2 linked regions of the Nothobranchius furzeri genome follow. The protein of the gene in region 1 purifies or fractionates together with the protein of each later gene. This does not show direct contact. Links are inferred from orthologs where the notes say so. Each region holds a gene or a part of one and is shown on either strand. Other genes may lie near its edges.

Region 1 (4,295 bases):
ATCACCATCAGTGTGTGAATGTGTATGTGAATAGGTGAATGACTGATTGTGTTGTAAAGCGCCTTGGGGGGCTTCCAAGACTCTAGAAGGCGCTAAATCAAATACAGGCCATTTGCCAGCTACCTTTGTTAACTGAGCAGTGAAAAACGGATGAATGATTGACAAATTGTATTCTTAAAAAATTATATTTATTCTTTAAAAAGAAAGAAAGTCCCATCTCACCCTCTGCGGTTGGTCTCATCCTTCCATGCTAGGGTCCTTACCAGTGGCCTGGGAGCTTGAGGGTTCTGCACAGTAGCTGTTCCTAGAACACACACGAACACACACACACACACACACACACACACACACACACACAGACACACACACGTGCGCGTGTGTGTTAACATTGTACAGTATTTTTCAAAAAAGGATATTCTCAAGTGAAATTTTCATTTTGCCGCTAATTTCAAAAGTACACATTTGTAATTGAAATGAAATTAAGGTGTATTTTTGTTTTTATTTGTTTATTTATTTTCCTTTTATTGCATTTAAAAGTCTCTCTGAGGTTTTAATCCCCTTCTGTTTGCTCCTACCTGGAGCAAACAGAAGAGCACACATCACCCCTATTCTGATGTCTCTGCACTGGTTACCCGTTAACTTTAGAGTTCATTTTAGAATCCTGACTATAACTTTCAGGGCTCTACATGGTCAAGCTCCTCCCTATATTACTGAACTGTTAAAGCCTTATGCTCCAACCTGAGCCCACAGATCCACACAACAGAACCTTCTAGAAGTTCCAAAGACCAGATACAAAAGTTGAGGTGATCGCTCCTTCCAGGCTGTTGCACCCCCACTTTGGAATGATCTTCCTTTATCCTTAAGTAGCATTGACAGTCTGGACACTTTTAAAAAACAGCTGAAGACCCTTCTATTTGCTGCTTTTACATAAATCTTTTATTTTCTTACGTTTAACTCAAATTTGTAATTTTTCATCTGTTTATGAAATTTAATAATTTATGACAATGGTTTGAGATCATTATGATTTATTACTTTATATTTTATTTTTGTTTTGATCTATGTGAAGCACTTTGTGATTCTATGTCTTTGAAAAGTGCTACATAACTAACATTTACTAACTCACTAGTGAGAAAACATCAGGAACACGTTCAAATCCATTTTCCTTCAGTTGTTTGGCTGTTGAACTAATTTTGTGCCCGACAGCGTATGCGTTAATTTCAACTACATTTCCCACCATGCCCTTTTGAAACGACGCACGCGCAAATGGGTTTATTTGACACGCATAACCGGAAGCTCCATTGTGGGATTGACCGAAGAAGACTTGGTAAAGTTTATTTTCCCTTAAGCACAAGTCGTTTGTCTACAGTGCAGCAGTCACAAAATTAAGTTTTGCCTCTTTGTGTTCATTTACACGTTTCACGTTGTTTTTGTGTGAACGAAATAACGGATTTTATCGCGATGGACAGGTTTACAGCTAGCGGACTTACCGTTAGCATACGGGCCCCTACTTCACACAACAGCTAACTTTATGAATATGCTTTAAATATTTAGCGCAGACGATGAATTAAATTGCTTTAATAGCAGTATGCTAATATATGAGTAGTTGTGTGGAGTGAGTTTTTGTAGGAAGGGGAAGGTGGGGGTGATCAACCCAAAACGATGGAAGATTAGAATGTAACGTAGATGCAGACAATACTTATTAGTCGTTTTGTCTAATTGTTCTGTTAAGAGAGTGTAAGAGAACTTAATATTGTTCTATTTTATTGTTTATGTCTTTAATGACGCTATTGTACATTTTCTTCAATGAGAAAAGTGGTGGGAACAAAAAAAGCCGGTTCAGCCTGCTGTCAGTGATAGACCGCATCTTCCCGTAACTTCCTATAACTGATCGGGTTCTGTTTTACAATCAAAGCTGAACAAATATCTGATTATCTGATGGTTTCTGTGCTGGTGGAAAGGATTTGCGGTTTTGTTTTTGCTGGCAGTTATGTTGAGGATGATGGAACTGTTAGAAAAGCAGAAGCCCCATCTGGTGGATGTGTCCCTTTTCACACAGTCATCATCTAAGGAGGAAGATGAGGCAGCAGTGGTCTTGATTGAGCTTTAAGAGTTATTATTACAGATGTTTGTTGTAGATGAAACAGGAAGAGCAAGAAATGTGCTCAGAGAAATCATATTTTTTTTACAATGTAACTTAAGGTTTGTGAACTGTAAACAAGGTTTGTTTTTCCAAAGCTGACTCAGTTTACTGTTCATGCTTTCATTTGATGATGGGTAAATCATCAGTCATCATTCACTTCTAACAGAAGTGAACAGTCTCAATTTTGAGTTGCTCTGCGTTCCTGTAAAAATTCTCCAAATGAATCAGACTTTTAAAACCACCATTACACATTTTTTGAGCTGTTCTTCAAGTTTGCTGAATGTTTTTTAAAGTCTTGCTTTTGCTGCTTTCATTTTTCGCTTTGTTCCGGTTCTTGTATTGGACAGTTTTTGTCTTAAGAGTAGGACGATAACAGTGATTAATATTGCAATGAGGATATTACTTGCAATAAATAAAAACTTAACTCAGGAACAAAAATAATCAAAAACAAAGACATAAAAAAATTATTAAAAATATCATAAAAATCAGAAAAACAAATGATGCGAGAAAATGGATAAAGAAAATGAACAAGAAAAGGTAATCAGTGGATCCCAGGAAAAGCAGAATCATCAGAAAGAGCAGAACAAAGCTAACTCAGGTGTTTGCTAACCATCAAAATGAAGTGCCGTCTTCCTCGGGGGCGGCATCTAACCTATGAGAACCCACCCAATTGGCCAAATGGGTGAAGAGCTTTATTTGATTTGTTAAAAAAAACACCATGCTTCCATTTGATTGACAGAACGCATTATGTGTAGCAAACATTTGAGCTGACCATTCATTGCAATATTTGTCTGTTCTTTGCGATATGCATATTGCGCATGCTGATATCGCGATAACGATATATTTGCAACATATTGTGCAGCCCTACTTAAGAGTAATATTGTTTGCTTTGACCCATAAGCCACTCAGCAATGTAAAGACTCCTAAACTCTTACGTTATGCCTCACAGACATTGCTAAAAATGTCACAAACTTAAGTGTGAAAAAAATGTGAAAGAGCAAGTCACCCCCTACCAGAGTCTAACTTATCCCATTTCCTGTTTGAAAAATGTGTCACAAGAAGGCGTTTCCTGGCAGAAAGAGAGGGCAGAGCCGCTAACAAATAAACACACACAAGCTCACAGTGGAATTGTGACATCATATGGTACCAGCTAACATCATAGGGTACCCCTTAGCCAATAGCAATGGCAGATTTAAATTCAAATGTACTGCAGAGTTTTTACCTGAAGAGGACACAACACTGACAGTTTTAGGCAGAATTTTACATTTTTAACTAAGATGCACTAAAGTGCCAAATTATTGATTACACGTCTCCAGCACTCATGTATATAGTTTATCAGCAAAAAAAAGTTGATTTAGGGGTGACTTGCTCTTTAAATAAGCAACAAAAGTCCAGGAAGGTTATTCAGAAAACCAGCTGTCTGTTAATCAAGATTACTTTGAAAGATTTAAGGGAAAAAGTAAAGATCCTTAAACTTCGCCCAAGATGTTTGTGGGGGTTTGGTTCTTTTATTCTGCATCCAAAGACCACCAACTGCTGCCCCTGGTGACTAGACTATGTTATTGTAATACATGTGAAAACCCATTTTAATTTACAAAGAAAACCTAAATATTGTTATTATATAAAATATAATTATTTAATATAATTAGTCGTTATCATTGTATTATAAAATCTTGTTATTGAACATTTTTTTTGTCACTGTAGGTGTGATGGAGAGGTGATGTTCCAGTCAGAGGAGCGCTAAAGGCCAGAGAAGCTATGACTGAGTGCTTCCTACCCCCCAGCAGCAGCCCTGCAGAGCAGCGCAGGGCTGAGCACCCGGGGGGCGTTGCTCGTACCCCCAGCTCCGAGGAGATCAGCCCTACCAAGTTCCCCGGGTTGTATCGTGCCAATGAACATTCGCCGCCTCATGATGGACATCACCACGAGGCACCTGACACATACGTCTCTGACGATGACAAGGAGCACAGCAAGAAGAAGAACAAGTTTAAAAAGAAGGAGAAAAGGAGTAGGATATGTTTTAATCTTCTGAAAATGATTATTTCTTCTGTTAAATCAAACCTGCTTTAGTTATGGGGAATGACCTGAAGCTGTTTTACTCCAAAGGTATGCTGGTATTTGTCACTAATCATTAGGGCTGAACGATCTATCGTTT
Region 2 (4,250 bases), about 14 Mb from region 1:
TAACTTTGTTTGCCTAAAAATAAAATTCTAAAGCTAAATGTTATGGAAACATTATCGTCCTCTTGTAAACTAATATCTGGACACATTTTTATTTCTTATGTCCATTTTTTAATTAAAATACACAAATACTGAAAATACCTGAGTGTTTGTTCTACAAAAAATACAGAGAATTATCTGAAGTTTACTCTGATCAGGTTAAAATAAAACAAATCAACAAAATTGATTTTTCTGTATTTAAATTGATCTTCAACACTGCCTAAATCAGTTTGAATTATATTTTAACAGCAGTTTTCATTTTGGTATCAATTATTCAGACTATGTATTCAGTGTATGTACTCATAAAATCTTTTTAAAATAAAATGTTTTAATTTTATGAACTTCTGCTGAACACACAGATGTTTTATTTTTTTGTGACCCAAGTTTCCAGGGGTGACCATGACCCCAATTGGAAACCTTTTGAGGACTGTTGGTAATCACAAACTATGGATTAGAGAACATTCTCAAAAAAATTTGATGTGCTCCACGCCAAATATCATTCAAGAGTTTCTTTGTCCTGTGTCTGTGGACACTCCAGTCTGCTGCAATGAAGACCTCTGAAGATATCCATCAGCATTGCTTTCTCTGGCAGAAGACTTTCGAAGATGCTCCATGGCATTGCAAAAGTGTTCGCCTTACCCTTCGCTGCCACTGGCCCAGTTTGGAGCCTTTGTTTGGGCATTTCACCTCGGAGATGTGACAAACTGAATTTATGTTTATGTATTTAGCAGAATTTGTATAATGTTTCATACAATCTATTTGTAAGAATCGTTAATCACGATTTTTGTAGCTCATGTTTGCAGTAGATTTTCTGCCTTACACGAGTAACCAACGGGGGGCGCTCTAGAGTCGTTTACAGCATTTGCCCCATTTAATCACAAGTGGGGGATGAAATTATGTTTCTAGTTAGGCACATCTATTTAACAATATGCGCACAGTTTAACCTGACTACGTTTTTTTTTATTCTGACAGCGTCCGTACCTCATATTTTGTCAATATATTTTGACATGTTCTGATATATTTTTTGTAAAGGAGGCTGACCTATATAATTGTAAAATACCAGACAATTAACGAATATTAGCCTGCGTGGCTTATCATTTCAAGGCCTGGGTGCGGTTTACACATCGCACCAGCCACGCCTTTTCCTGTCACAACGGAACAGTCGTTCGTAAAGACGGCGGGTCAGCTGACAGGCATCAGCGGACCGGGGGAAGGAAGAAGCGGAATTTGCGGCTGTGAGCAGGGATTCTGTTGGACATAAAATACACCCAAAGGCTAGCCTGGAAGCCAAAGAGTGGTGGTGTTCGTGAAAGAACAAGAGTAAGTTAACGAAACGGAGATTCAGTCATGTATTTTTGCAGTAAAAACGATTTACTGTGATCTGTAAACCGCCAGAGAAAACAGGTGAGCGCTCTCTTTCGTTGACGACGCTAACATTAGCAACTCCTCAGCTAACCGCGGCTAGTTAACGTCAAGCTAGCCGCGGTTAGCTTGATGATAACGGAAAGCATGCTTTAAGATTCCTTCAAAGCTTAAAACGTGCCATCACATAACATTTTGATGCTGTTTTAGTTGGTTTGTTATGTAATTCATATCGTTTACACGTAAGTCACTGTAACTTGCTGTAACACACGCGATAACCTCAGTTTTTCTACCCACCGGAAGCCCGTTAAAAATCCGCTCGGCTCGCTGAGGATCGTCGGCAGCTAGCCTGCTAAATTAGCTAGCCATCGCTGTCTTCAGGGTATTCTCCATCACTTTGATCATACTGAAGGTCAAATTTTGAACCGAGCTAATACATTTAAATAACGTTTTAAACAAACCATACAGGGAAAAGATTATACATCGATGGTAGAAAAATATATAAAATGTATGAACATTGGTAAATGGCCCGAGTGAGCAGACATCTTGACTAAACCGATAAATGTACGATTCAGGTTTGGTGCAGGGTTTAATCGGTCACGACTGCTAGTAGTAATTTGTTTAAGAAAATTCTCAACACTCTCTATAAAAGTGTTTCAGTTATGCCTTCTAGGAATGCCATGGATGTCCTTTTTCCATCCTAAATTTTCTAGAAGCAGCATTTTTTAAACTGGCAGTTTTATTAGTAAAATACACTTAATTAAAAAAAACTTACATCCCCACGGGGATAAAAATGGTACATTTCGGATGTTAGTCCTACCAGGTCTAGGTAGGGTTTAGCGGACTATGATGATCTCAGATTTATATCTTTATCTGGTAGCATCCTACCCCAAACCGGTGGCTGCTGCTAATCTGTTAATCTTATTTGGAAGTGTGTGTGTGTGTGTGTGTGTGTGTGTGTGTGTGTGTGTGTGTGTGTGTGTGTGTGTGTGTGTGAGAAAGAGAGAGGTGAAGCTGCCTAAAAAGCTGGTGCAGCTATGCAAATGAGTGATTTAATAAAGTCACTAATGGTGTAGTGCAGCTGCAAGAGAGTGTGTGAGTGAGAGAAACAGGAAAACGGATGCGAGGGACAAGTGCCTCTCTGTACTGTGGGTGACTTTTACTTTACACTGCTTTTACTTTCCTATCTCCCCTTTTCCTTCCCAAATTTCAATCTTTTTTTTTATCCTCAGGAGGGGTTTGGTTTCATCATGGCAAGTTGGGATTGAGAAGCATTCACAATGATTGGAGGATTGTTCATCTACAACCACAAGGGAGAGGTTCTCATCTCCCGCGTCTACCGAGATGACATAGGGTATGTTTCTCAGACATTATGTGCGATGATAATCTTGTGGGTGGACTGTTTAGGTTTGATTCTGGATGAGAGGATTATTATGGGTTTCTGTTTAGCTAAATTAGTGTTTGGCATGTTTCTGCAAAGAAACAACACAATTTTATTGTCTGAGGCAATGATTTGCTTCCCTTGTGCTTATCATAAACCACACCTTCAAATTAAAAGATTAGACGCAGCTGTGTGGAATGCTCAAATTCAAATTGGCTTCACTGCCAGTTTCCTCATGGTGGGATAGTATTTGAATTATCATTTTCTTCTTCTGACCAAGTAATTTATTTGCTAAAATGTGTTCCTTTTCTTCTTTTTTTTTTTTTTGCCTCAATACATTTGTGTTTGCAAATACACTTGACTACACTTGTGATTTTCTCACTCTTGTAAGTCAAACTGTTTAATGCAAAATAGACCTTTCTGTATTGATGATTAATATTGAATGCATTATTTTATACAATGCTATGGTTAATATTTTACTTTGTTAGCAAAATATATAAATAATTATTTCTGCTGTAATCATTTACACTAAACGAAAAGAGGCGTGTCTGTGAGCAGAATATCTTATTGCTGCATCTGTGGTAAATTTAATTAATTTGTTCACCTTTGCTCTTTTAAATGTCTGAGTTCATTAGAGCAGGGGTTCCCAAATTGGGGGTCTGGGCCCCCAAGGTGTCCCAATAAGATTACTGGGCATTTTCTTAGCTGAGGTTGGCAAGATTTTATTTGTAAAAAAAAAAAAATTACATTTAGAAAATCATGGTAACACACCCTACAGTATAATCAGAACTCCATATAAAAGTTTGTAAATGATCACATTAATGTGTAATGCATGTTGGGGTTGGGGTCCTGGCTTGTCTTGGACATGGGCTATGGGGTCCTCAAAGGAAAGACTTGAACTCCTGCATTAAAAATTTTATTATGAAAGGTTAAAACATGTAATGAAACCCATGCTGGATACTTATTCTGAAATGTGGTTTAAAAACGGAGCTGAGTCATCACAACCAGTGCTGAGCAGCAATAGATGGAAAAATGTAGCCACTCACTTTTTTTTAATTTCATTCATTTTACAAAAAGGCATTGCTGTGTTAGGGCAAATGTAAGGTCTGCACTGCTCTTGTGCAACGTGTTATGGATATGATCTAAGTAGAATTTCCACCTTGCTTTCCCAGAATAAACATCTGCTCGTGTGTGTGCTTTCACCACTGTGTGTTGTACAAAATTCCACTGAACCCAAAAAAGAAAAGAAAATTAAAACACCCGCTCATTTTATTTTCATTGCATTATGCTGGAAAAAGCATAGTTGTGTGAATCCATGAATTTCATAGCTTATTGATGTTGCTTCAGTAGTTTTCGTAGGTATTCGTCCCCCTGGCTGCAGCAGCAGTGTAACACAAACCAGATGTTTTAGGTTTGCTCCTTGACCGCTGCATTAAATTCCTCATGCCTCTGTAATTGTGTGTAAATTAAC

What was found.
Region 2: the proteins of ralbp1 (region 1) and AP-2 complex subunit mu-A purify together in Homo sapiens (affinity purification with mass spectrometry; 3 studies listed by BioGRID and IntAct, counting the BioPlex papers as one, with this or other methods). This does not show direct contact. The link is inferred for Nothobranchius furzeri from reciprocal best matches to the Homo sapiens genes RALBP1 and AP2M1.

What each region holds. Positions count from the first base shown.
Region 1 is NC_091751.1:42,837,305-42,841,599, forward strand, and holds the start of ralbp1 (ralA-binding protein 1), read left to right. Parts: upstream 1-1,241; 5' UTR 1,242-1,324; intron 1,325-3,844; 5' UTR 3,845-3,898; coding exon 3,899-4,148; intron 4,149-4,295. UniProt on the Homo sapiens protein: Multifunctional protein that functions as a downstream effector of RALA and RALB. As a GTPase-activating protein/GAP can inactivate CDC42 and RAC1 by stimulating their GTPase activity.
Region 2 is NC_091751.1:56,895,631-56,899,880, forward strand, and holds the start of AP-2 complex subunit mu-A, read left to right. Parts: upstream 1-1,216; 5' UTR 1,217-1,356; intron 1,357-2,630; 5' UTR 2,631-2,678; coding exon 2,679-2,752; intron 2,753-4,250.